6 separate regions of the Mus musculus genome follow, and all the other regions are reported to be linked to region 4. The links are microRNA targets in miRTarBase. Many come from high-throughput screens and were not tested one by one. Region 4 holds a microRNA gene; each other region holds the end of a gene's coding sequence. Distances are from middle to middle.
Evidence for each region. Region 4 holds the annotated microRNA mmu-miR-1903 (CCUUCUUCUUCUUCCUGAGACA, at 2,971-2,992, opposite strand). A microRNA usually pairs through its seed, bases 2 to 8, with sites in the 3' UTR of a target mRNA and lowers its output. Matches are read on the target gene's strand: a 7mer-m8 pairs with bases 2 to 8, a 7mer-A1 pairs with bases 2 to 7 and ends in A, and an 8mer does both.

Region 1: the mRNA of Tango6 is a reported target of mmu-miR-1903. Seed matches in the 3' UTR shown: 7mer-m8 at 3,405-3,411, 8mer at 2,884-2,891, 7mer-A1 at 2,618-2,624, 8mer at 2,615-2,622, 8mer at 2,612-2,619 and 7mer-m8 at 2,610-2,616.
Region 2: miRTarBase lists Lpin1 as a target of mmu-miR-1903. Seed matches in the 3' UTR shown: 7mer-A1 at 1,632-1,638.
Region 3: miRTarBase lists Slc22a12 as a target of mmu-miR-1903. Seed matches in the 3' UTR shown: 8mer at 3,268-3,275.
Region 5: the mRNA of Dgkg is a reported target of mmu-miR-1903. Seed matches in the 3' UTR shown: 7mer-A1 at 3,497-3,503, 7mer-A1 at 2,417-2,423 and 7mer-m8 at 2,415-2,421.
Region 6: miRTarBase lists Dcc as a target of mmu-miR-1903. The part of its 3' UTR that is shown has no 7-base or 8-base seed match.

What each region holds. Positions count from the first base shown.
Region 1 is chr8:106,849,699-106,853,785 of GRCm38, reverse strand. It overlaps Tango6 (transport and golgi organization 6), which reads right to left. Exons shown (of 18, transcript NM_173037.1): 18 at 2,347-3,607. The coding sequence ends at 3,431. Among named protein-coding and RNA genes, the nearest start is that of Gm34197, 4.8 kb to the right of the region's middle.
Region 2 is chr12:16,534,605-16,538,679 of GRCm38, reverse strand. It overlaps Lpin1 (lipin 1), which reads left to right. Exons shown (of 21, transcript NM_015763.4): 21 at 108-3,011. The coding sequence ends at 267. Among named protein-coding and RNA genes, the nearest start is that of Lpin1, 53 kb to the left of the region's middle.
Region 3 is chr19:6,532,815-6,536,901 of GRCm38, forward strand. Slc22a12 (solute carrier family 22 (organic anion/cation transporter), member 12) reads right to left here. Exons shown (of 10, transcript NM_009203.3): 9 at 3,923-4,087; 10 at 3,040-3,378. The coding sequence ends at 3,315. Nrxn2 (neurexin II) reads left to right here. Exons shown (of 23, transcript NM_001205234.2): 23 at 1-403. Among named protein-coding and RNA genes, the nearest start is that of Slc22a12, 8.2 kb to the right of the region's middle.
Region 4 is chr8:128,358,156-128,362,242 of GRCm38, reverse strand. Mir1903 (microRNA 1903) reads right to left here and starts at 3,002; the gene lies at 2,923-3,002. It overlaps Nrp1 (neuropilin 1), which reads right to left and starts at 3,170. Exons shown (of 17, transcript NM_008737.2): 1 at 2,611-3,170. The coding sequence starts at 2,683. A930035F09Rik (a long non-coding RNA gene) reads left to right here and starts at 4,006. Exons shown (of 3, transcript XR_879381.3): 1 at 4,006-4,087.
Region 5 is chr16:22,465,711-22,469,797 of GRCm38, forward strand. It overlaps Dgkg (diacylglycerol kinase, gamma), which reads right to left. Exons shown (of 25, transcript NM_138650.2): 25 at 858-3,637. The coding sequence ends at 3,539. Among named protein-coding and RNA genes, the nearest start is that of Etv5, 28 kb to the left of the region's middle.
Region 6 is chr18:71,255,632-71,259,718 of GRCm38, forward strand. It overlaps Dcc (deleted in colorectal carcinoma), which reads right to left. Exons shown (of 29, transcript NM_007831.3): 29 at 1-3,448. The coding sequence ends at 3,359. Among named protein-coding and RNA genes, the nearest start is that of Gm41772, 610 kb to the left of the region's middle.

The DNA.
Region 1 (4,087 bases), 22 Mb from region 4:
GAAGGACTAATAGGGGAAGCAGAAGAGGACTGCCCCTTGAGAAAGGACAAACAGTCAGAGGTGGGACAGAGAGCTCGGCCACTCAGGATCCATCATGCAAGCAAGCAGGGTTCTTCCGGCCGCGTGCCAGCTTTGGGGTTCATGCCATTTGTTTGTTTTCAGGGCTGGGGATTGCGTGTAGGGCCTCATGTAGGCTGAGCAATGCTGCTACCTCCCATAGAGGTAGGTGTGAGGTAGGACTCCTGTCCTCTCAGGGTTTCCATGAACTCACTGCAGCCCAGGCAGGCCTTGAGCTTGACACCCTCCTGCCTCAGCTCCCCAGGAGCTGGGATTACAGGTCTGTGTCACCAGGCCCAGATGGACCCTTTAAGTTACGTTTGTGCTTTTCCTATCCCATTATTCTCGTTCCTTAGAGCTTTTCATTCAGAAACACATGAGTAAATTTACAGTAAAAATTATAACCGAGACAGGGTCTCCTGTTGCCCAGGTTAGCTATGTAGCTGAGGATGGCTCCGAATTTATGATCCTTTTGCCTTTTTATCCAAAGTGCTGGGATTACAGGTCTACACTATGGTGTCCGATTTTTGAGGTACTGGGGATTGAATCCAACGCTGTGTGCAGCTCAGTGACATCTTCAGGCCCTAGGATTTCATTTTTTTTTTCAGATAGAATTCCATACTGTGATCCAAGCTGTCTTAGAACTCACTATACAGCCCATATTTGACTTTGAACTCACTAAAACCCTCCTGTCTCAGCCCTGTGAGCGCCATGGTCATAAGTGTTAACTACCATGCCTGACTTAGAAGAGTTATCTGACAGTTTTTAATAATTTGGTCATGCTTACAAGGGTGTCACTAAATCATCTTCCCTTTGAATTTGATAATGAAGTCCGGAAGAAAAAAATTACTCTCTCAAATTGAGAACACCAAAAATTAATAAAATCAAATACTCTAGTCCTTTGATAGCAGTTCAAACTAAGAGTCCACTTATACAGAGAGATAAAGAGACTAAGGCTGGGAGGGGTGGACGTGTTCAGATGGAGAAGATCTTAAAGTCATCAGTGTACACCTTCAGGCACACTGGCCTAAACGCCGTGGACAGTACTCGGCCTGCGAAGCAGGCTCTATCTTTTAAAATATATTATATATAATTTTAAAATGACTTTTAATTACGTGTGTGTGTGTGTTTATGTACATGTGAGTGCTGGTACTCTTTTTTTTTTTTTTTTTTTTTTTTTTTTGGTTTTTCGAGACAGGGTTTCTCTGTATAGCCCTGGCTGTCCTGGAACTCACTTTGTAGACCAGGCTGGCCTCAAACTCAGAGATCCACCTGCCTCTGCCTCCCGAGTGCTGGGATTAAAGGCGTGCGCCACCACGCCCGGCTTGAGTGCTGGTACTCTTAAGAAGCCAGAGGTGTCAATCGGCTGGAGCCAGAGCCACGGGCCATTGTGAGTATCTCATGTGGGCTGGGAACCAAGTTTGGGTCCTCGGCAAGATCAGTGTGTACTCTACTGCTGAGCCATCTCTCCAGCCTTGGGTTGGATGTATTCTAAAGGCTAAGTAACACTCGCTTAAGCAGCTCCAACCCTGACTTTATAGGCACTCTTGATTTAAAAAATATAAACTAATACTGCTACCCTAGCTGAATAGAAATATTCCTTCAAAACATTCAAGCTCTGTGTAGCCCTGGCTGTCCTGGAACTCACTCTGTAGGTCAGGCTGGCCTCGAACTCAGAAGTCCACCTGTCTCTGCCTCATGAGTGCTGGGATCAGAGGTACGTGCTGCCACGGACGGCAGCCTTGTTTGATCCTTTGCTTGACACACTGCCTGTGGTTTGTATCAGTGATTGGCACCTTTCTGGCGATGCCTACTGGGAAGGCTAAGCTGAGAAGGCTGTGTAATCTGGCTTGCTCCCAACAGGCGAGAACACCTGAATGTCACTCCATAGTCTCCTGCACTGTCACAGTTCTGCTTCCTTTAGATCAGGATACCCCAGAAAGTGGAGATAGATAAAGTCCCGAGATAGAGTCCTATACTTATCTCTGTGATGCTGGGGATCGATGAACACCGCATTCATCTTATAAAGGCGTAGGCTACAGAGCGGGCTTATCGGAAGCAGCCAGTTGCTTCCTTTTCCTTTCCGTTCCATGTGGACGAAGTTGCACACACACTGTGCCTGTGTATATATGTTCATGTATGCGTATGTTCATGTGGGCTCATGAGTTGAACAGACACTGTACGAGCATGTAAGTGTGTGTGTGTGTGTGTGTCTGTGTGTGTGTAGGCCAAAGGTCAACGTTGGGTGCTGTTTCCCAGGAGGCGCTGCCCTTTTTTTTTTTTTTTTTTAGAGAGAGAGAGAAAGGGATGGGGGTGGGGTCTCTTGGTGGCTGAGAGCTCACAGACTAATTAACTAGACTGGCTAGCCTGTGAGCCTCCAGGATGCACCTGTCCCTGCACCCTCCCCTGCTCCTTAGGCCTGCAGGCACATGCCACCTCAAGCAGTGTTTTTACCTGGATGCAGAGGATGGAGCGCAGGTCCTCAAGTTTGCATAAGTACTTCAGGGACTAAGGTATCTCCATATCTCCCCAGTCTCCTCCTCCTCCTCTTCCTTCTTCTTCTTCTTTTAACCCTTTCTTGTCTTTTGCAATGAAAATACCAAAATACATAAATCCAAGAGCGGATGAACACAGTGCTAAATCTGAAGTTGTTTCAGTGAGCTGGTGGCAGGCCACTCCTGTGCCACATAAGCCCTGCCTGCCTTTCTCAGACCACTCCACTGTCACAGCATCACCCTGAGAGGTGCAGAAGACTGAATGGCAGCTCAAGTAAAAACAGAGGAGCAATAAAAAGAAAAAAGGCCCCAGAGGACAGACAGGGCTTACTCTTCTTCTGCAAAAGTCAACCAGCTCGGTGACAGCATTCACATTGGCTGATCATTCCAGCCAAGGTAATTTTATTCTTTTATTCTCTCGTATTGTGTAGTTTAAGCAGCAATGCTTCCTTCCCCTCCCCACAGCTGCACACCCAGATGATAGCTCTGCCTGTCCCTCATCACAGGCAGAATCATCTCCCTATGACAGGATATCAAGGTGGGACCAGGGGGGTGGGGCGGCTTCTCCAGCCGGAAGAAAATGCTCCACAGTTATACACAGGCCTCCTCTAAAGGCTGGGACGATGAAGGGTGTAGTTAGATGGGGTTCACCCTTCTCACTGCACAAGCTTTGGGCCAGATGCAGAGTGACCAAATGGACGCTCTAGAAAGGTAGCCCTGAACACCCAAGTGGTGCCAGCACCGTATAGCTACCTTCAGGTTATAGCAGACCTCAGGTCTGCACCAAGGAGGCGGTGGAGACACCTGCTGGGAGGTGTGTGACCACTGCTTTGGCTGCTTGGTTTCCCCTGCCTTCTTCCATGTTCTGTGAACCAGGTCTATGGCAGGACCACAATCTTCTTCTCCAGCTTCTGGGGCGGGAACAGGAAGTTCCTCATGATCTCATCGAGCTCCTCCAGGGCCAGCTGGGCATGCAGCTTGGCGACGTCATCAGGTTCCAAGCGCACCACGTGCTTCAGCAAGTGATAGAGATCCCTGAGGACGTCGCTCAGCACCTGGATGGAGAGATGGGGTCATGAGCACATGTCTACTGGGAAGCAGTCTCTGGCGTCCTTGTAAGATAATGCAGGGACCTTCCAACCTGGAGCATGGAGCTGGCTGTGCCCCACATAAGATTCCTTTGTGGTTTCTGCCCGCAACACCTCACTATGATTTTTAAGTCTGTGCCTCATTATTTCCAGACCCTAGTATAGCTCCTAGACCCTCCCCCTTTAGTCAAAAGATAGCAGAGGCCTCAGGACAAAGGCAGCCAAGAGTGTGTGGGCACAAATGGCTGCCTGCATCTTCCTCAGGGTCTCTGTGTGTCTATATAAGCACACATATAGGAGTCAGCGCTCCCTTTGCAATGTGGAGCCTGATGTAGAACTAAGGCCAAAGGCCTGATGGCGACAGTCTTTACCACTGACCCAGCTCACCGTCTCCTGGTCTTCTGGGGTACAGACTGACCTCAAACGTGGGGTCCCCATGCCTCATCC
Region 2 (4,075 bases), not on the chromosome of region 4:
TAGTGTACCCTTCCCCAGCCTGAAGTGCAGCCCAGAGTCTGGCATTGCCCTTCATGTATCAGGTACGACTCCGTGGGCAGTGACCTCACTGTTCCTTTACCTTCCAGGTACGTGCGGCTCTGCGAAGTGGTCGATCACGTCTTCCCATTGCTAAAGAGAAGCCATTCCTGTGACTTCCCCTGTTCAGACACTTTCAGTAACTTCACCTTTTGGAGAGAGCCACTGCCACCTTTTGAAAACCAGGACATGCATTCAGCCTCAGCTTGACGCGACCGAGCATTAAAGGATAGGTTGTGGGGACCCTGGAGCTGCTGGGAAGGCTGATATGTGGCCACCTGCCTAAGAGAGAAGCATTTCTCCCTCGGCTCGCTCGCTCGCTCGCTCGCTCGCCCCAGGGTGACACTTCTAAGCATGGAGGGCGGAGAGAGGCTGCATCTCATCCCATAGGCTGCAAGAGGATTGGGTGCACTAGGAGTGTGCAGAGCAGCCCTCTGTTTGGGTTTAGCACACCTCATGCTGCACCCTCCAGTCCCGTCTGCTCCAGCAATTAGTTAATGTGCAATACGGGTGATGACCCCTTATCAGCGGGCAGGCCACCTGAGAGCCTGTCTCAGTATCACTGTGCCCCTACCCCCTGGAACTCTGATGTGCATAGGGATCAGTAGCATCAGGGACACATTTCCACGACAGAGACATCCATGCCACCTTCTGCACACAGGCTGTGTCCCGAGTCTAAGTGAAGGGAACATGGGCCTCGCTGGGTCTCAGCCCTAGCCTTGGCTTTGACTTTTTAGACGTTCCCTTGCAGTATTGCCGACTGTCTCACTTTAGGTGATAAGCTCTTTAATTGCTTTGGTTAAAGGTGGCCTGTGACGCAGCTGCATCTCTCCCCATTCCTCATAGCTCAAGGCTGGGCTATTTATGCCTTAACGCATCTGCAGCAGGCATTTCCTTAGCGTGCACTGTCTAGCTCTCCGTAACTGCAATGCCTTACCTTACAAGGGTAGTCCCTAAGGCAGCGTGTGTCCGCGGCATCTCAGCACCTTCTGCGTCCTGCTACCCAGCAAGGAGGAGCCACTAGTGTGGACTCAGCAGCACTTACGCCCACCAGGAAGGATGCCGCTAAAGACACTGGTTGTTTTTTTTTAAGAAACATAGTTTCCGGAAGTTAAATTATTTTCTTTGCAGATATTATTTATTTCTTTACTGTCACTGGGCTGCTGTTGTGAGCATCCTAGCCAGATCCTTAGGCTTATAGCCGTCATGAATGCATTAAAAGTTAAGTGTGATAGACAGTCCAAAGAGCCTCATTCTGTGGATGTCACACTCTGATCTTCTAGAATCTCCGAATCACTCATTTTTCTTAGTTTTTTTTCCCCCCACAGTCTAAGGGAAAGAAAAAAAAGTAATAATTTGAGCAATGTTCTTTAAGCTGATAGAAGGTTGCTGTGAACTGTCTCAGAACAATGTGAAAAATGAAAAGTATTTTGCTAAAAGAGTTGCTTTACTTTGAAAGTATTATTTTTCTTAAAGGGTGTTTTACTCCAAAGACAGATCTTTCTATTTAAATTTCATTGTTAGGGTCAGAGGAGACAGGAACAAAAAAAAAAAAAAAAAAAGGAAAAGATAGAAAGAAGAGTTAAAAAAGAAAAAAAGCAGTAGAATGGACTGTTACTCTTTCTGTGAAAGAAAACCTAGAGTCACTGCCCTTGTAGTCACTGGGCTCTGTTAAGGTCTCATGTGGTCCACATAGTTCACAGGAATGTAATGAAAGCCACTGTCATCTGCTGTGGGCGCCCACTGATGGAGAAACTCGGCCCTGAGTGTGTGGCTCCCTCTGGGAGTCAGGAAAGCCATTAAGCTCCTGGCTTGTTCTCTCGTGACCTTTGGAGGCCATGGTAACCCTTCTGCCACCACGGTGGTTTTGTGTGTATTTTGATTGCTGTGGACTGTATACGAGCTCACTGGCCTGCAGAGGTTCACGGCCGTCTCCCTCATGCCCAGGGGAAGCTCTGGCATCTCTTTTCAAATGCCCTCTGCAGCCCGCTGTCCAGGTGGCTCCCTGATGCCATGTTAGGACTTGAGCCAGAGTCTCTATAGCCAAGGCTGGTCTACAATGCACCATCTTAGACATACAGCAGTCCTTCCACCTGGCTTGGGAACCTAGTTTTGATATACCTTAAACTTCCCTGTCACTCTACCCTGAAACAGAGCACACCTCCCACAAAACCACACTCTATGATCTCTGTGAAAATCTTCAGGAGCCCTGTCCAGGCAGTGATGTGGACGTCTACTGTTAGGCTCCCTGTGAGATCCAAATGAGAGCTGCACCCCGGTTCTCTCAAGTTGCTTATTTGCATCTGCACTTAAACCCAGAGGCCCCAAGGTCACGTGTTAGGATACTATATGGGTACCATACATTTCAAAGTTGCTCATGGAAATGAGCGACTTGCTCCATAGTAACATGTCCTCAAATGGCGATCCCACATGATGAAGGAGAACCCACCTGGCGCATCTGAGACAGGCTTCTGTCGTCAGATACTTTCCTTTTGGATTTCAGGTTCGGATCACTACTTCAGAATATTTTACTTACAACGTTGGCTGTGTGTTTGCAAATGCCGGTGCGATGATTAAAAAAAAAATCAATATAATATTTCACTGTGTTGTGCTTGATGCAGAGCTAGAAATTTCTGTAATAAACAAGATGGATGAAAGACTTCTGAAAATCAGGCATATGAACTTTAAATTATTTTTATAAGTTCTTAAGGTGCTCTTATTTTTTTCTGGTTTCTTATATACAATACTTAGTTATTTACTTGAAGGGGGAAAAAACCCTTAGTGTGGGCTAGGGAAATGGCTCAGGCAGTAAGAGTACTTGCCATGCAAGCAAGCACATCCAAGTTCTATCCCCATTATCCATGAATGAGGCCTAATGACAGTGTGCATTGTTATACCAGTGCCCGGGAGATGAGGATGGGTGGATCCGTGGTGCTGGCTAGACAGACAGCCCAGTAGAATCCACAAGCCCCAGGTCCCAGTGTGAGACCCTTGTCTCAGGACTGAGCCTGAGGAGGAACAACACTGGAGGCCCTGGTTCCTACATGTATGGGCATATAAGTCATGCACATCCATTCGACGGTCTGTACACAAATGGACTGGGAACACACATAAAAAGACTCCTTATGGCTATGAACTCTTCACTATGGGAGTAAAGACCTTTGCTGTTATTTGAGTTCATACAGGTATCATACCAACCCCGTTTACTCCTGAGAGATATGAATGCGTCCTTTCCACTAAAGAGATTGCATGTGGTCCTTGCACAACCCACATTGGATCATCAAGTTGAGAGACCTGTTTGAGATACCATGGCTCCTCTCTGGCCTGGAAGGAGTGTTGAGGAGCCAGGAGGCAGAGAAGAAGGTTCAGTACATAGTGTTTCACAGGTCCTGTTTGCCATGTTTGAGGTGTCTTCACCTCATAGACCCTGTCCCCCTCTTTTGGATATTTGTCCTTAGTTTTTCATTTTGAAGGAGTCCATCAAAGCCCTTGACTAGTTTGAGCTGAGGTTGGTCATATCCTATTAACACTGTACTAGCAATGGCCGGAGGCTTCCTGCGGATTGCTGTGTTGGCCTTGGTGATTATGGAGGGCATGGAAGAGTATCATCCTTAAATGCTAATGGCACTTCTGGGTAAAAACTGAAGAGTCCAAATTCTAACAGGTCCCCGGGTGTCTGTAGATTCAACATGTTACAGACAGAAGAAACCCTCGGACAGCTCCACAGATCTATGCTACCTGACTGCAGTGTCTGAGGCTCTCTTATCTGAAATAAAAACCAGGATAAACTTGTCTATAGGCCACTCATTCATCTGTGTTCTCTTTATCCTTTGACACCAGACCTCCATGGTGGTACCCAAGGCTCTCCTGTGTCCCCGCAGTTCATACCCCCATGCAGACAGAATGAGTTTTTGGATGCCTAGACTTTCCCAGAGACGAGCTTTGTTCACCTGGGAATTTGAAGGGCTTGGTCTGGTTTCAAAGAGTAACACATTCCCATTTTGCATCAGAAGCCAAA
Region 3 (4,087 bases), not on the chromosome of region 4:
GCCCCAAGTCCCCTCCTGCCTGGGGCTGCCCAGGGATTGGACCTGGACCTGGCCAAGGCCTTTTGTGTGTGTCGCTGCTGCCGGGCAACGTGCATTGCTGGGAAGCCGAAGCCGCTGGAGGAGCGGGTGGGGGGGCGGGGGGAGGGGAAAGGCAAATGCAGATATATATTAAAAACAAATAATCGAGGTACCAGAGCTGCGTCTGTGGCACCAGCTAGCTGCAGGTGCAGGGGATGGCGGGAGTGAGGCTGTGTCTGCGGATGGCTGGGGTCACTTCTCTGCCCATGGGCTCCCTGCTCCCCCAGTTTTTTTTCTCTTTGTTAACAAATGTGTCTGAGTCTTGGAAAACACCCCAAACCCGGAAATGTGTGGGAAAAAGAAAACAAAAACTTTCCAAATTCCACCAGTCCTGTGTAGTTTGTTCGGGGTGGGTGCTCTCAGTGGGTGCACCTGACAGTTGCTAAGTTTCCTCTAAATACTTTGTGTGTGATGTGTGTACCGTTAGAGGACATCTTAGAGGGATCAGTTCTCAGCTTCCACAATGTAGGGCCTGAGGATGAGATTGAAGTTTCAGTCTTGATGACAAATGGCCTTGCCCACTGCACCATCACTGAGCCGTTTCCCTGAACCAGCCCTCTGACTTGAGTTGAATACAACATTGGGCTCTTGGACAACTGTTGTACGTCTGGCTTGCAAGTGTTTGCTGAGTGGGCTGAGGGTGGGAGACAGGCTCGGCTTGTGTGGGAGGGAGGGAGATTGGCATCTGGCTGGGGTTCCCGATGGCATCATGTTGCCCTCTTTTCCGAGGCTCTGCACCGGTCACTCATGTCCTACCAGATGGCTGACATCCTACCAGATGGCTGACATCTTGTCCAGTATTTGGAGGAAAGTAGTCTTTCCTGGTGGCCAAGGTGGCTGGCAGTGGCTAGTTCAGGGCCTCAAGTGTAGCAGTGGCCGAATCCCTCTGAGTACTTGTTCCTCTGTCCTGTGACTTTGCCTGCACCTCTTGGCTCTGCTTCCCAGCTCTGTAGCACGCCACCACCCTGGAGTGCTGACCACTGGGTGGCTGGCTCTCTGTGAGTGTGGCCTCTCCTTGGCCTTCTGAACCCATTGGCTTCCAGCCCCGCTTGCCATCTTGGGCAGATTTGGTCTGGGAGCCTGGGGAGGTCACACTGACTCTCCTGTGGGAGTCTGGGGAGGCTTTGACCAGGGCAGCGCTGTCCCAGGGTGTCCTGTCCCCAGCTGGTCATGGACTCACTCCTGGGCCCTGTGTTACTGTTCTCTTCTCAAAGCCCAGGCTCAGAGCCCTGTCCTCACCTGCATTGTTAGTCACAGAAAACAGACAGCGGGAGTTCCTTGGGGACAAGCCTGGAAGGAATGCCTTTACTCTCACTTCAGCCGTTGTTATGGTGACCCTGGTTGAGGCAGGAATGTACTCTAGGAGTTGAAAGGACGGCTCCATCACCCTGGTTGCCTTGTAGTTGGGGCTCCATCTCCCTCTCTGCATCAGAAGGCCAAGACCTGACACCCAAATGCTTTGTTTTCTAAAGAGCTCTGGATGTGGCTTTGACTCGGTTTACCTTTCCGAAAGAGTCTCTTGGCTCCTCCACTGTGAGGGTATCTCAGCAGCTTTGAGGTTAGAAACCTCCAAAGTAGGCATTAAAAAGAGGGTGTGTCTAAATGGGTGTGGGCCACAGCCCAGAGATTTGTCAGGTGACTCTAAGACAGTGATGCTGCCACTTCCCAGAGTGACAGAACGCTTTGTCCTGAAAATTCTTAGCCACCTGGATAACCAGGGGTGGCCGTTCAGAATCCAGACGAAGGAACGTCTCTGACTTAGAAGAATACTGTAGGAGAGAGAAACATCCATCTCTCCACTGAGCTCTGTGTCCTGGAAGTTCCTAGGAACCCTGTTGCCCCCAGGAAATGCAGCTGGGCCTAGAGCAGCAGAACAAGTTTGTCCTGAGGCAGCAGGCAGTGTAAATATAATCTTAGCTTTACCTTTACATCTGGGGGAGTGTCACTAGGAAGTGTGCGAGTGTGCGTGCGTGCGTGCGTGTGTGTGTGTGTGTGTGTGTGTGTGTGTGTGTGTGTGTGTGTATGCACGCGCGTGTGTGTTTTGTGCTTGTGTGCATGTACACATAGCCAAAGGACATAGTCTCCCAGAGGTTCAGGAGCTGCAGCCGAGGAGCAGGACTGCAGGACCAACATCTAAGACAAGGGCTGTTTTCTGTTTCGTACCCACCCTTTTTGTGCAAGTGCACACATGTGACTGTGCATATGTATCTGCAGCTGTATACATTCTGTGTATGCTTGTGTATACATGGATGTGGTATGTGTGTACATGTATGTATATGTGGTATGTGTGTGTGTGTTGCAGCCTTCCTCTGAGGTGCCTAGGAGCAGTCACACAGGTAGATGCTTGTGTGTACATGAATATGGTATGTGTGTGCATGTATGTATACATGTGTGTATGTGGTGTGTGTGTGGCGGAGGGTGAGGAGTGGCAGATGTGTGGCCCTAACCATGGTTCACAATGCCATCAGAGTCATGAGTTGTCCCTGAACCCTGGAAGGTGGGTCTGGAGGGTCTAGAGGGTGTCATGTGGGACGGAGACCCAGGCAGACATGGACGGGCACATGGAGTGAGGAGAGGCTGGAGAGGGACCAGGCCAGCCGACCGAGGCCCGCAGTGACCCTGAGATGCTGCTGCTGCTTTGCCTGTGCTGAGGTGCTCAGTTCTGAGTCGTGCAGTAGGCTGGGTGGTGGGCAGCGAGAAGGTGTCCCCTAGGCTTGGCCTCTCTCTGGTGTGCAGCTGCTGGGGAAGTCAGGGTAATGGTGTCTGGGCAGCCTTCTGTCCTTCAGACGGAATTACAGGGATAGAGCTCTTTGCTTCCCGTGGCTGTTCTGCAGGACCTGGAAGAAGCCATCTCCTCCTCTCCTCCTCCCCCTGCCCCCTCATCCCCACTTCATCCCCCTGCTCCCTCTCTTCCTCCGTCCTTCCTTTTTGTTCTCCCTTTCTTCTTCCTCATTTTCATTCTTTTAAAAATTATTTATTTGTGTGTATCACCGGGGGCGGGTATGTGTCCATGCGGAGCTCAGAGGACAACTTTGTGAAGTCTGTTGTCACATGAGTTTCAGAAATTTAGGCCCGGAGGCAGGTGTCTTTACCCGCCGTCGCCAGCCCTGCCCTTTACTCCTCCTCCTCCTCCTCCTCCTCCTCCTCCTCCTTCTCTCTCTCTCTCTCTTCTCCTCTTCCTCCTCCTCCTCTTCTTCCTCCTCCTCTTATTGTGGCTGTGTTCCTTCTCCAGGCAACTACAGCCGGGTAGACATCAGGATGGAGCCATCTGGTGTGTCATGTGTTACCTTCTTCACTGACCTGTTCAGGAAAGACAGAGATGTGTGACTCTAAGGAGCAGAATGACCCCTGACTTTTGACCTGTGTGTCCATGCCCAGGTCTGAGCACCCTGCCTGGGGCTCAGGTCTGAACTTACTGAGCATGTCAGGGTGGGGTGGGTTGTCCAACCATGTCACCACCCAATGACTTTAGTGGCAGAGTCTGCCACCTGTGAAATTCCCAGCCACACCCATCACCCCCCCTCCCCGTGACAAACGCCAGCTTGCTCACGTGTCCTCTCCCCCTCCACTTCTCTAAGGTGGACCTGGGGGTGGCTGGGCCATTTTTTCCTCCACATGGTGGAATGGAGGCTGAGGGTTAAAATCCACCTGTTACCCTGGTCTCCACTCTCCTGATGTGTGGTGTAACTCTGGTCCATGCTAGCCCTCCCTTGACTTCTGCTTTCTCCTTTGTTTGAGAAGGGTGAGTGCCCAGCCTGTTTTGGGCTTTTGTGGAGGGAGGGAGGAGATCTGGGAGATGGGGAAGGAGGGAGTGAGGAGGTGGTCTGCAGGCGGCTCCACTCACTGTTTCTGGATGTCTTGGATGGTGTCAGGCAGTGGTAAGTTCTTGGTCTCAGGCAGCAGCAGTGCAGCTAGGCCACTTAACACTGGCACCACTCCATACACCAGCAGGGGCATCCAGGAGCCATAGACACCCAGCAGCCGTACCAAAGGCCCTAGCATGGCTCCC
Region 4 (4,087 bases):
ATGCCACCCCATTTATTGATGCTTAATTTTAGGCAATAAAAATTTGGTGCATAAACTATGTAGGAAGTACAGGTATGAAATATTGAAATGTATAAGCCTATCAATCACAAACATCCAGTAATGGTATATATAGATTTTAATATTACATCTAATAGATTCCCTGTGGAAAGAGAATGGCATTCTTTGCTCTCAGCATGAATTTATAAATCTAAGGAATTTTATTACAGGAAAACCAGGTCAAATGGAAATGAAAGATGAAGTGCACATCAAAAATGCATAAAGCTACATGCATTACAGAAGTCATTTCCCATAAATTAAAAAGAAGACAATATAAATTATGTTGTTTTCTCCAATTGCTAGATGTTTCTGGCTGTTTCTTAGATTGGAGTGGGTTGGTCCTACAGATTCGCTTCCCATTGGTTTTTAAAAGCTTTAGGTCTTCAAGAAGAACTAATGTTGCAACCAACGCTCAGAATCTCAGCTAATGACGTTAGCCAGCTCAGTGGTGTGATTCTGCAGAGGCTCTGGCATTATTTTGTTTTGTGCAGAAATCTTGGAGAGTGACCCCCTCAGCCCCACCCCCCAGCTCATTAAGTCACTCCAGCTCTGTGTAGCCACCATGGCATCTGTTAGGAGAGAGAAATAAAACAGTCGACAGATAGTCACTTCAGAAGACAGTGAGGTGGGGTTGGTACCATACCAGAGCACTTTAATCTGTGACTTCTGAGAAAGTGACAGTGTAATAAGATAATGTGGACTGCTGGACTCCCACACTCTGTTCAGTCTCTCTAACACTTGATTAGGAGAGAGCGATTCCTAATGACTGTGGACCATTAGTCCTAAATAAGGTTAATGAATTAATTTAGTAGACACTTACTGGGAGGAGGTGGATATGGTTTTAAGAGGACTAGAGAGTTACTGAGTCATGTGCCAGCCCTGGCCACCTCAAGCATAGCAATAAGGTTTCAGTTGAGTGGAGTCCAGATTCTCAGCATCCCCCACATTTCTGCTAAGAAAATTAAAAAGTGTGTGTGTGTGTGTGTGTGTGTGTGTGTGTGTTGTTCAGTACCACACAAGTCTTAATGCTCTTCACATTGGTTATTATGACCATCTTTTGGGTACCCCAACATGGCTCTAACCCAGTGTTGTTCTCTATCTGTGGGTTTCAACCCCTTTGGCAAGCCTCTTTCTCCAAAAATATTTACATTACGATTTATAACAGTAGCAAAACTACAGCTATGAAGTAGCAACAAAAATAATTTTATGGTTGGGGGTCACCACAGCATGAACTGTACTAAAAGGGTTGCAGCATTAGGAAAGTTGAGGGCCTCCACTCCATCCTTACGCATTATGAAGGATAACCGTTTGAGTTCTAAACATTTGAGTTCTTTCTGTTAGAGGAAAAAGATATTTCATTCCCTGCCAGAGTATAGAAGCACTCCACCAACTCAGGTTCATTAACAAATTGAACTCCACATTCATGATTTTTTGAGTGTTTGGCTTCCCTTCCAGAGTATATAGGAAGATGCCGCCAACTCGAATTCATTAATAAATTGAATTCCAGCCGTGTTCACAAAAATTTTGCATATCTTTTGAGAACACTGCTTGGTACCTGTTGGGGGAGATCTATAGTTGAAATCACAAAACCTGGGGAAAGCACATTAAGGAGATTAACTTCTATCATAAAGGAGTGATTTAAATTCTTCCTGGTAGAGCCCTCCGCTCAGCTCTTATTAAAACAATATACTACAATAAGTGGTAGATGCACTTTTCTCCTAATTACTTTGATTGAAATCTGAGCCAGACAAAGTAAACATTTAGCTATTAGTTAATAATAATGATGAAGATCTACTGTTCCGATCAGCCCTTGCCTAGCCTTCAGCACCTTTCCAGGGGACGTGGAACACATTTGTACCAGATCCCATTTTAAACACACTCTTTATGTTCCAAGGCACTGTTTATACCCAGGACTGCCTTTCATTTACTTAACAGTGAGTGGTTTTAAAAGCCAACTGGAAGCTGCAACAGGGTTACGAATTCTCAGACACGCTGGTACCTCACACTGAATAGATCCAAAGCCTTTATTGACAGTGCGACTTTCATTCATACTTCAGACTGATCACAGACGGTTTACAAAGGCAGCGGAGAGTTCCAGCGCCAAGACTGACCGCTATCTCTCTGTGTCGCCCACCAGAGGAAACCGAGCAGGGGTGTTTTGAGGAGAACCAGGAAGTCCTCCCGGTGAAGTGTTCATTAACTCTCAGCAGCCATCAGATTTTTGAAAGGGAGTCTCATTTAATTGCCTCTGGGAGGAAACATTATTAAGATAATTGGTGTGCTGATCTGGGAAGGTAGGCAGCTCTGTCTCGAAACAGAGGCAGGAGAAGCCAGCAACCAACTGGAGCAGGGGGCCGAGGGTTTGTGGTCCTCCTGCCCCAGACGCCCTGACTTCTCCGTTCCTTGCGCAGGCAAGTTTCCTGCGCCCGGCAGCCGTGCGCGCGTCCCGTGGCTGGGGCTGGAAGTCCCGTGGCTGGGGCTGGAACCCCTTCGCCCGAGGGGACTCGGCAGCCCCGGGCACTCTGGTTGCTCCCGTCTCCGGCTGTCACTTACCGCTGCGGAAAGCGCCCGCCAGGGCGAGGGCAAGGGCGAGCGTGGCGCACAGCAACGGCAGCCCCCTCTCCATCCTCCTTCGCCAAGCCAGTCCCCAGGCAGCCGCAGGAGAACACGATTGCGCGGACGAAAAACCAGCAAACGATAATCTTAACAATCCGAAACGCTCTTAAGTCCGCCTAAGAACCAGAAAATCCTCAGCGGGTCTTGGCGGGGAAGGCTAGCGGCGAGGCAATGCCTGAATTCGCGAGAAGCGCTTTTCTTTTTGTGTCTCAAGTCGCCTGCATCCTGTCATTTAGCTCCGATTTCCTCTCCCTTTTCCCACACTTGTTCCTCTTCCAGGAGCCACTGCCCGGGCCATGTCTCAGGAAGAAGAAGAAGGAGGAAAAAAAAGAGGGGAGGAGTTGCGAGGAGGAGGGGAGAGGGCGGGCGACACACCAAAGCCAATTTCTAGAGGGAAAGAAAAAAAAAATCCCGCTTGATTCTGGACGGGTTGGAGCCGAGGAGCTGGCGCCCAGAGGAGGTCCGGGTTGTCTGCGGGAAGGAGAGAGAGCAATGAAAAGATGAGCGGGAGAGCAAGGACTTTCTCCACTGGCACCCGCCTCTCTCTCCGACCTCCCCCTCCCTCCCAGAGCCCTTCCCTCCCTTCCTCCCGCCCCCTCCCCGCACAGCTCTGCCAGTGATTGCCTGGCTGGAGATTCAGAGACACAAGTTTCTCTCCGCGTGCTTTCCCGGTTGGTCCTCTGGGCTCCCCCCTCCACCCCACCTCCGGGTACCCTGCTGTGCTCTCCGCGGGAAGAAGGTCACTAGGGAGCAGGTTGTCTGCGCCCAGAGCGCAAGGTCACGTATGTGTGTCAGAAGGGGCAGTACAAGTGGTACCAGCCCCAGTGGCAGGCTAGTCTACCTTGACGAGATCTCTGCACCCCAGAACTGAACTAGGCTGCTCGTGTAGGCGAGGATCCTGGAGTCAAGGAGTTCCGAGAGACCGGGGTTAGCTGCTACTTCACGGAACTCCTAATCCCTAGGTACCGGCGCCCCCGGAGGCGTGGATCGCGCTGTCAGTCCCCGCTTTCACTTCCTGGGTGTCAGCCTGAGGTTTGGGGCAGGAAGCAGTCGGGCGCTCCAGGACGCTCCGAGTAGGACTTAGACTAAAAGAAGAACGCCTTGGTTGTTCTGCGAGACACGCTGTTGATCTTAGAGAACTGTGACCCAGTCTGCCACGTAAAGCATAGGCAGACTTTCTTAGAGCACGGACCCTGGCTGCAGCGGAACAAGGTCTCCTCGCCGTGCATAAAGGCGAGGATGGGTACCTGATACCCCCATCCCCACCCCTGACGCTTCAGGCTGCATTGTTCCCCGAGATTTGGTCCCCTCTTCTTTGGGGTTACATGAGCTCGGAGGATGGATGGTGGCGCGCCTTTCAGCTAGGGGGCAGCCGCCAACAGTCGCAGACCAGCCACGTAGAACTCCAAGAATC
Region 5 (4,087 bases), not on the chromosome of region 4:
TTTTAATTTTAACTAAACACTTGGAGCTATGTTCTCACTGATTCCTGTTGGAGCCTAGAACTAGTAACTGAGCGTTGACTGTATGGTTTCCCTCCTCAGAGGGCTGGCAGGCGCCTTCCTCCTTCCCTTCCTGTTCCCTCTCCCTTCCTTTAATGTTGACATCAGACACCCACCTGCTTTGGAATGCTGAGGTATAAGCCTTTGACACAGGGAATCAGTCTAGATCCTGCTTATCCACAGGACTCTGTATTTTTATGTCTTCTGATTGTGGTAGTATTAAGGAAGGCACAGCCTAGCTGGGACAGAAAGTAACTGAGGGTTTTGGCTAAGAGAAGAGGGGGCTAGAGATGGGGAAGGTTGATGTAATTATTTTTGGCAGGAGTTGGAACCAAAGCAGCAGGAGAGAGTAAGTTTTAAGACTCTCTGGCAAAGCAACTTTCTAATCTGTCACTGAATATGTGTAAAAAAGTGATTAGTAGGTCTCTATATTTACCATGATTACTCACAAATATGTAATTTACATAATATATACAGCACATTAAGTACTATGTCACCTTATATAATGTGCATATGTGTGTATATATATATATATATATATATATATATGCATGTTATATAATGCCAGTCTGGAGGCTCTGTAAGGTTCTGCCAAGTATTTCCTAATTTATTTGGGAATTTAACGTATTTTTTCCATCTGTAGAATGAACTCTCTTGAGAGGAGTTGGTCTGTGACCTGAATATAATCTTTCTACAAATTCTCTCTCCGTTCCCAACTCACCGGGGAAACCCCATGAAAACCACACCACACTGAACCACGGCTCCTAACCCACCAGCCCAGCGACAAGGTGCACCAAACGTTTCCGGTTTCATTGTTTTTATTGCTAGTGGGGCGGAAGCAGGAAGGCAGGTGAGAACAAGTCTGCAGCGTGAGAAGAATATGAGCAGGAGAAGAGAGGAGAGACTAGGCTCTCCCTTGACCACGGAGCTTGAAGAAGCTACTAAACACCAGTAAGCCCCCCCCCCTCTCCTCTGCAAGGTGGAAATAATAATACTTTGCTGGCTAGCCGTAGAGCTTGGTGTGGGAGTCACTTGGATGATGCACTACACAATAAGAAACCACAGCCATGGTGTTTAAAAGATGATTTGTAAGGTAAGATTAAACAACAACAAATTAGAAGTGCAATGCCACATTTTATACTCTGTGCCTTTGAAAAGAACTGGGCTGTGTTTCTCAAGAAACATTTAACCTCTGCAGGGCCCCATCGAGAGACTCGTGAGTCCGTTTTACCTACTGATAGTATTGTCTCAACATCTGTGACCTCGTGGGGGTCAGAGCTGAAACATATACAAACACTTCTGTGAAATTTTTAGAATCCGTGACCTTGAAGTTGAATCTGCCTCAGTTTCTGAATCAATTGTCTTCCAAAGTAGTGCTTGCTATTACTCCGGAGCTGGCTGGTCACATCTCTAGGCATCCCACCAGTATGCTCTTTATGTGGCCTGGTGTCTCCCTTGCTCAGTAGAAGCATGTTTGCTGAGCAGGAGGGTTCCAAGTCTCAGCCCTGGATTCTAGTTGAGAGTGCTTCCTTCCGAGGTGGGCTCAACTTGTACAGATTCTTCATATTCCCTTCCTTGGCTATGGCAAGACTGGAGGCAGCTCAGTGGAGTGATGTCAAACTGGGCCTGGATTTCCTCTTAAGAAATTTGAGACAGAAATGAAGGTCCAGGGGAGCCAGGGGCCTGAGGCAACTGTTGCTTTCTACCAGTGATGCTGTATAGAGTTGCCCTCCAGAGAGGAGGAAGATGCTGGCACCAGCTGACTGAAGCCCACTGAGCAGGGCCAAAACTCTTCTGTTCTGGTTGGCAACATCTTACAGAAGTCACAGATGTACCCAGGAAGGTATCCAAAGCAAGAAGATCGGTGACATGATGAGATGACATAGTAGTTCAATCAATTGATCTGTCTGGTGCCTTTAACATCAGGCCAACTTCTCTCCATGTAGGACAAGCCATAAAGCACTTGGAAGTTAGCTCAATTCTCCACCTCCCATTTTCTTGTGTGGGCTTGCTCCATCCACACACAGGCTATAAGATGGTTCCTTGCTGGGAACCTAGATCCAACATCGACCAATCCTCAGTGACAAGAAATAACCCTTTCCCCAGATGCAGGTTCTTCTGTTTGTTAGTGACCTTCTTAGTAACATTTACAGTCAAACCTCCTTATCCACAATAAAATGGAGAAGTCTTTAACTTTTCCACAACTCAGTTTCCTTATCAACCAATGGGGGGGGGGGAATGAGGCTTGAACAGCACGTGTTCATAGTTGCTCCCCGGATGTAGATAATTCTCATAAACCTTGAAACCAGCCAGAGAAATGTGTCTCTACAAGCAAACGACAGTGGAAGAGTAAGGGCCTTCTTCTTTTTTCTTTCCCATGTCCTGTTCCCACACTATGTTTATTTCTAATCAGGAAAAGTCCAGCAGTAAATAAATATTTATATATTATATATAAACAAATACGCTACATAGGTATGTAGAGAAGACCATCAGAAGGCCCCTCTGCCACACTGTGAGAGTGAGATGTGCAAACAGGGAGTCCCGTAACAGTCTCCTGGTTTTCCCAGCAAAGTCCCCCCAAACCCATACCCCCATCGTCTCTGCCACCAGGGCTTGGGATTCAAAGTGACACACTTTGGCTTGTATGGTAGTGAGGAGTGGGGAATACTGGGAGTGTTTTTTTTTTTTTTTTTCTGTTTCTTTCCTTTTTACACAATATTATGACATCAAATTTGAAAAATAAAGTCCACTTTCTCAGCTCTTCCTCCCAAGTGTTCATAGGAACTATGAAAATAAATACCACATCTAAAGCACGCTGCCCGGGCAGCCTTGTTTGCTCTCTAAGCAAAACAGCCACCAAGAGATGCTTCAGGAAGCGAACAAGTACCCATGGACAGCAGAGGGAACCAAGAATGGAAACGGCTTTCCACAGCTTCTTGGCTTTCCCCTGCAAGTTAAGGGGGGAGCTGTTACTTGAAGGACAGCAAAGCAACCATCCTGTGCTCGCCGAGCCCTGCCAAGGCTTCTGCTTGCAGAGCTGTGGGCTGTTTTGTTTTTATACAGAAGGACTTTTGTGCAAGGTTTCTGGGTTGGAGCTCTTTCCCTTGACCACATCCGATCTTGCTGTAGGCAGGAAACCTACAACCTGGAGCCTTACAGGAGTGTGGCACAGAAAAAGGGAGATTTCTCCTGCAGGCTCAAAGTCTACCCAAAGCCTGTGGGAATGTGAAAGTTGCTGCATGAGCCAACCCATCTTCGTGGGCCCTGAGTCCATTTGGAATATTTCATGGGTATTGGCTCTGTTAAGAGTGGATCCATTTTCAAAACAGGTAGACTGCATGGCAGGATTGCACTTTCCTCTGGAAGGTGGCTTGGCTTCCTCTGGTTACAGGTGTGTGTGTGTGTGTGTGTGTGTGTGTGTGTGTGTGTGTGTGTAGATTCTTCTTTCCTTTCTCAGTAGAGCTGGTGTTTGGCATATTGTTTAGTCTTTTGAACGGCTTTTCCTCCTCAGAGAAAAAAAGCTGCTCTTCTGGGGAGGCCCCATCATCATAGGTGCCTGGTTTTTGTGAGTGATTTTAATCTGAAAGAGGAAACAGAGATCAATTAGTGGTAACGTACAGTCTAGTAACTTCGGGCAGAGTGAGTTGCAGAGTAGAGAGAAGGCCAGTTTGGGCTCAAAGGAGCCTCACGCAGAAGGACAACTGTCCTTGAACAGTTTCAAAATTGGCAACTTGACCCTGACAGAGCCTGGAGTTTGGCACGGCTGGAAGTGAGGGGCGGAAACACCGGGGAGAGACAGGTGTGAGCTTCCCACGTGGCAATCAGCTCGCACCTGTCCTGTGTCCTTGCTATTCATAGACTGTCAGAATGTCACAGTCAGAGGAGACCTCAGGAACCTTCTCGTTCACCACTCTGTAGGATGGATAAGGAAGAGGAGCCCAGAACTCCGGCAGAGACTTATCTTAGTCGAAGGTCACATGGTGGGGTGGGGACATAGCTCGCCATGCTCCCAGGCCCGATTTCAGTCCAG
Region 6 (4,087 bases), not on the chromosome of region 4:
CTAGGAAATACTTAACTTTTGACTAGAGTAAAAAAGTTAGGAGAAGGCTCCAAAGGAGAGGGAACTTTCGACAATCATCTCTGAGAACAAACTCTGGACCCATGCTTGGGGAGTTGTTTCTTGGGAAAGCCAATGAATGACACCCTTTGGCTTAAAAACGTTAATCTGGAGTCTCTTTTTGTAACTGTCACCTTTTCTGAGCACATGCCTCATTCTTAGCAATCTTCATTTTGAAAAAACCCAAACTACTACTACTATGTCCAGTTCCTTAAAGAAATCCCTAAGTAAGTCGGATTCTTATAGCATTGGTTTGAATTTTTTATTTCTGGGTTGTTGAACTGAGTATGTATTTAATAAGAGCCAAATATAAAGCTGTATTACTTAAATATTCTAGAAGATTATGGGTCTATTATATGGAGGCAGCTATAAGCACTAAGAAATACTTAACTTTTGACTAAAGCATTATACAAATGTTTTGAATATATTGTGAGCCCTCTTTATTTTTGTCAGTTTAAACAAATGCAGAAATTTCTGGAGGAATGGAAATTACTTTCTTATCAAAATGAAATAGAAAAAATATAGCAAAGTTCTTAAAAGCAGGCTCTTGCTTTTCATTTGAGCATAGTGTATAAAATCCTGAGTCCTCCTGCCAAGTTTGATGTTTTTTCCCATTTCCAGAGAACTAACTGCTGGTGGCAGAGATGCTGGCTGCCTCTTCAGCTTTGCCCTGTGGGGCTCAAAGAGATTTATAAGTTTAAAGGGTCTTGTATGGAGTGAGCTAGACACACAAGCTAGACAAATTCAGGCTGCCTCACACCGTCATAGACCTTGGAATTCACTTGCCACCTGGAACCCTGGGGAATTTTACTGTGTACACGTGAGCCACTGGAAAGATGATGGGAACAAGAGCTCAGCAGAAGCCGTGTTGGACTAAATACATGTTACAATCACTGAGTTAATGAAACCAGTCTCATGGTTCCAATGTATATTCAAGGCATGACAATACGACTTATTAAGAGTCACCAATTGCTAAAATAAATTATTTGTTTACTGAATTTTTCAAGAGTTGTGGAGGAAATATAACTCTGACTAAAAATGGAAAGCATACATCCAACTTTTAAAGATTACACTCCCTGAAATCATTGAAAGTTTGAAAAACCTCGAGTTTTATAAAAATTCTGGTTGTCTTAACTTTACAACTAGATGTTACAGAACACCTTTCATTATAACTTATTCCATGGAATTTGAAATTTGAGGTTTGTAGCAAACCCCAACCTGAAATTTGAGGTGACTCTCATTGATATCAAATGCCTCTAAAAAGTGGCTCTCCTTTCTTTTTATTATTAGACAGGGGAATACACTCTGGGGAGTGGAGGAAGTTATGGTAGTTCAGTAAACATTTTTCCAGTTCGAAGTAGTGGATTATTTTTAAAATATTCATTGCTATGATAAGAAATGCTTTATTTCAGGTCAGTCAACTGCTGTCTACCTCAGTGCCCAAATATTGAACAAAAGCATTCTGTCCCATTGAATAACATCACATAGTTCCTCGAAAGTACTTCCAGAAAAAAAAAAAAATCTCAGTAAATTGAACAAGCACTCTTGTTGAAGGAAACGTTTTGCAAATGGACCAGACTTTCTAATGAACCATTTGAACAAGCCCTCTCTTTGACATCAGATTTCCTTCCCGACATAAAACTGTAAAAAAATAATCTGAATTATTATTTCTGTTACAGTGCCATTTTGCTCAAAATATTTCATTCAGGGATTCATATATAATTACCCACCTAATAAAAGGAGCTATTAGGTTGTAAAGATCCTATCCTTGCCATGCTCTCTTAAAATTATGACCTACTCAAGCTTGAAATCAAAGGCAGAGCTGAAAGGAATAATTCAGCTGAAACTCTCATCAAGTTTTCAAGTCACCTAACTGATAAATATGCAAACTAGTTCCCTCTTGGCGACTCAGCTGCATAAATAGGGATTAACTCCACATACCGCTGAAAGTTCATGGGCTAAAAGGGAATGCACAGAATGTTCTTATATTCAGCTGGTTTCAAGCCGTAGATACATGGCGATAGAAGTTTAAAATTCTAGTCCACAGTTTAGATGCTGCATGGAAAAATACCTACAGGAGTTATGATGTGCAGATGTGAAGTGGCACCCATCCCTCTCTCCTCCCTGACTGTCTTAGGCATGGGATGGAAGGTTGCCTTGCCAACAGAAACCTGTGGTCAACATCTGTCAATGTTGCCTGGCACAGCTCGCTCAATGAAGATGCTATTGGTGGAAGGGACATCAACTCATGAAAAGGTACCCTGGGATATGGTTTTTCATGCTCCTTTTCTTTCTTGAGCTCGCTCTCAGGAAGTCTACTATCTCCACAGAGGGATATTGGGGACACAGGATATATGACGCATGGAGTTGGCCATTTTAGCTAAGGCTACTTGCCCAGGAGAAGTAGGGGAATGGTTGGGGATGGAGGATGGTGGAGTTTTTCTGGCCAAACTCCTGAAGAAGAAGCCTTAGTGAAACCCAGACAGGCCATCACAGTGTGGAGTGGCATAGAAGCCACTGAAATCGAAAAATGTCCTATGACAAGCTCAAGTACACAATCACCACGTGTCTGAGAAGATTGCATATTGTATTCTCCTTCTAGAAAGGTGTTGTTGCTGGCAGGATGCCACCAGTTGAGGATTTTTAAGTTTCTACTTGCTAGACATAAACGTTAATCAAGGATGGATTTACAAATACTTGCTAAAATTGGTAAAAAGTTTATACCCACTCACTAACATCAGCCACTTTTGTGAGATGGAATGATTGAGCTATAAACAAGCATTCACTGCCTTTTGCTTATTCACTTATTTTCTTTTATGCTGTCAGGAAAATATCCAATCCTTTGGTGCTATGGAGTGAGAGAGTTACCATGGATGCTCTGTAGCTGAAAAAAATAGTGAGTTTGTATTGATTTGTTATGGCATGGTACAGGCTGAAATAATGCACTTGTGAGACTAGACCTACACAGAAAATGAAAGGTCTCACTGAAGGAAAATGTAGGCATTAGTTATGACACCATGGTCCCTGCAGTGACAAAGACCCAGAACTATGCTAGCAGCTTCAGCCTTGACTTTGCAGTGAAGATGCATCTTCGGGACCTCATGACCATCATCGTATACTCCTGATGTCCATATAGGATGGGATACTGTTTTCTTCTGAAGTGCTTCAGATGTTCCTTAACCGAATGGTCCAGATGGTTGACCTGTACACTGGTAAGAGTTTTTGGACACAGGTGTGCTGTTTATGGATAATTGGTATGCTGTAAAGTTCCCAGAAGATCTCAACGTTTTGGCAATGAGTGTCAAAAGGCAGACCCTGTGATGGCGTTGAGTTGCTTCATTAGCCCTTCCAAACTTGCCATTTGTTCGCTCAAGTCATCCTGTTCATATACCTGGAGAGAGAATGAGAACGGAGTCAGGATGAGGTCTTGGTAGGCTCCTACCATGATAGATCCACTTAGTGTCTGGCTGTAAGTTGGGTCACTTATTATTCTTGAGATTTACATAGGGACTGATAGGTAGAGCAGCTCTCAGAATATTTTAACTCAATGAACTTGTAATAGCAAAAGAGCTACCAATAAGCTACTGAATACTGCTTCCATGTACTCTATACCTTTAATAGGGAAAAAAGCTTCACTGTTAAAAATATACTATTTTAAGTCATATTCTTCCAATGGCTAGCTTTGTAGTAGTGAACAAGTTAGAAGATTTCTCTGTTGTATAATTCTACTTGTCTGTGAAATGATAATGGTGCCTATTTTATAGTTTATTCTGAGCATCCCCTGACATGCTCCCTGCATGTCACAATGTCTGACCTGTGATCCATATTAACACAGTAGTTCCTCTTCGTTTTGATTGGCTATCTATAAATAGGCATCTAAAAAGTATCTAAAGATCAGCATCACCAGTATTCTTTCTTTAATAGCATGACAGATTTTAAATTTTGCATGGCAACCTGACGATTTCTTGGCTGATCAGAAATATATAGATTATAACTTTAGCTTGTGAGTGGAAACAAAGTTTTATGTTCA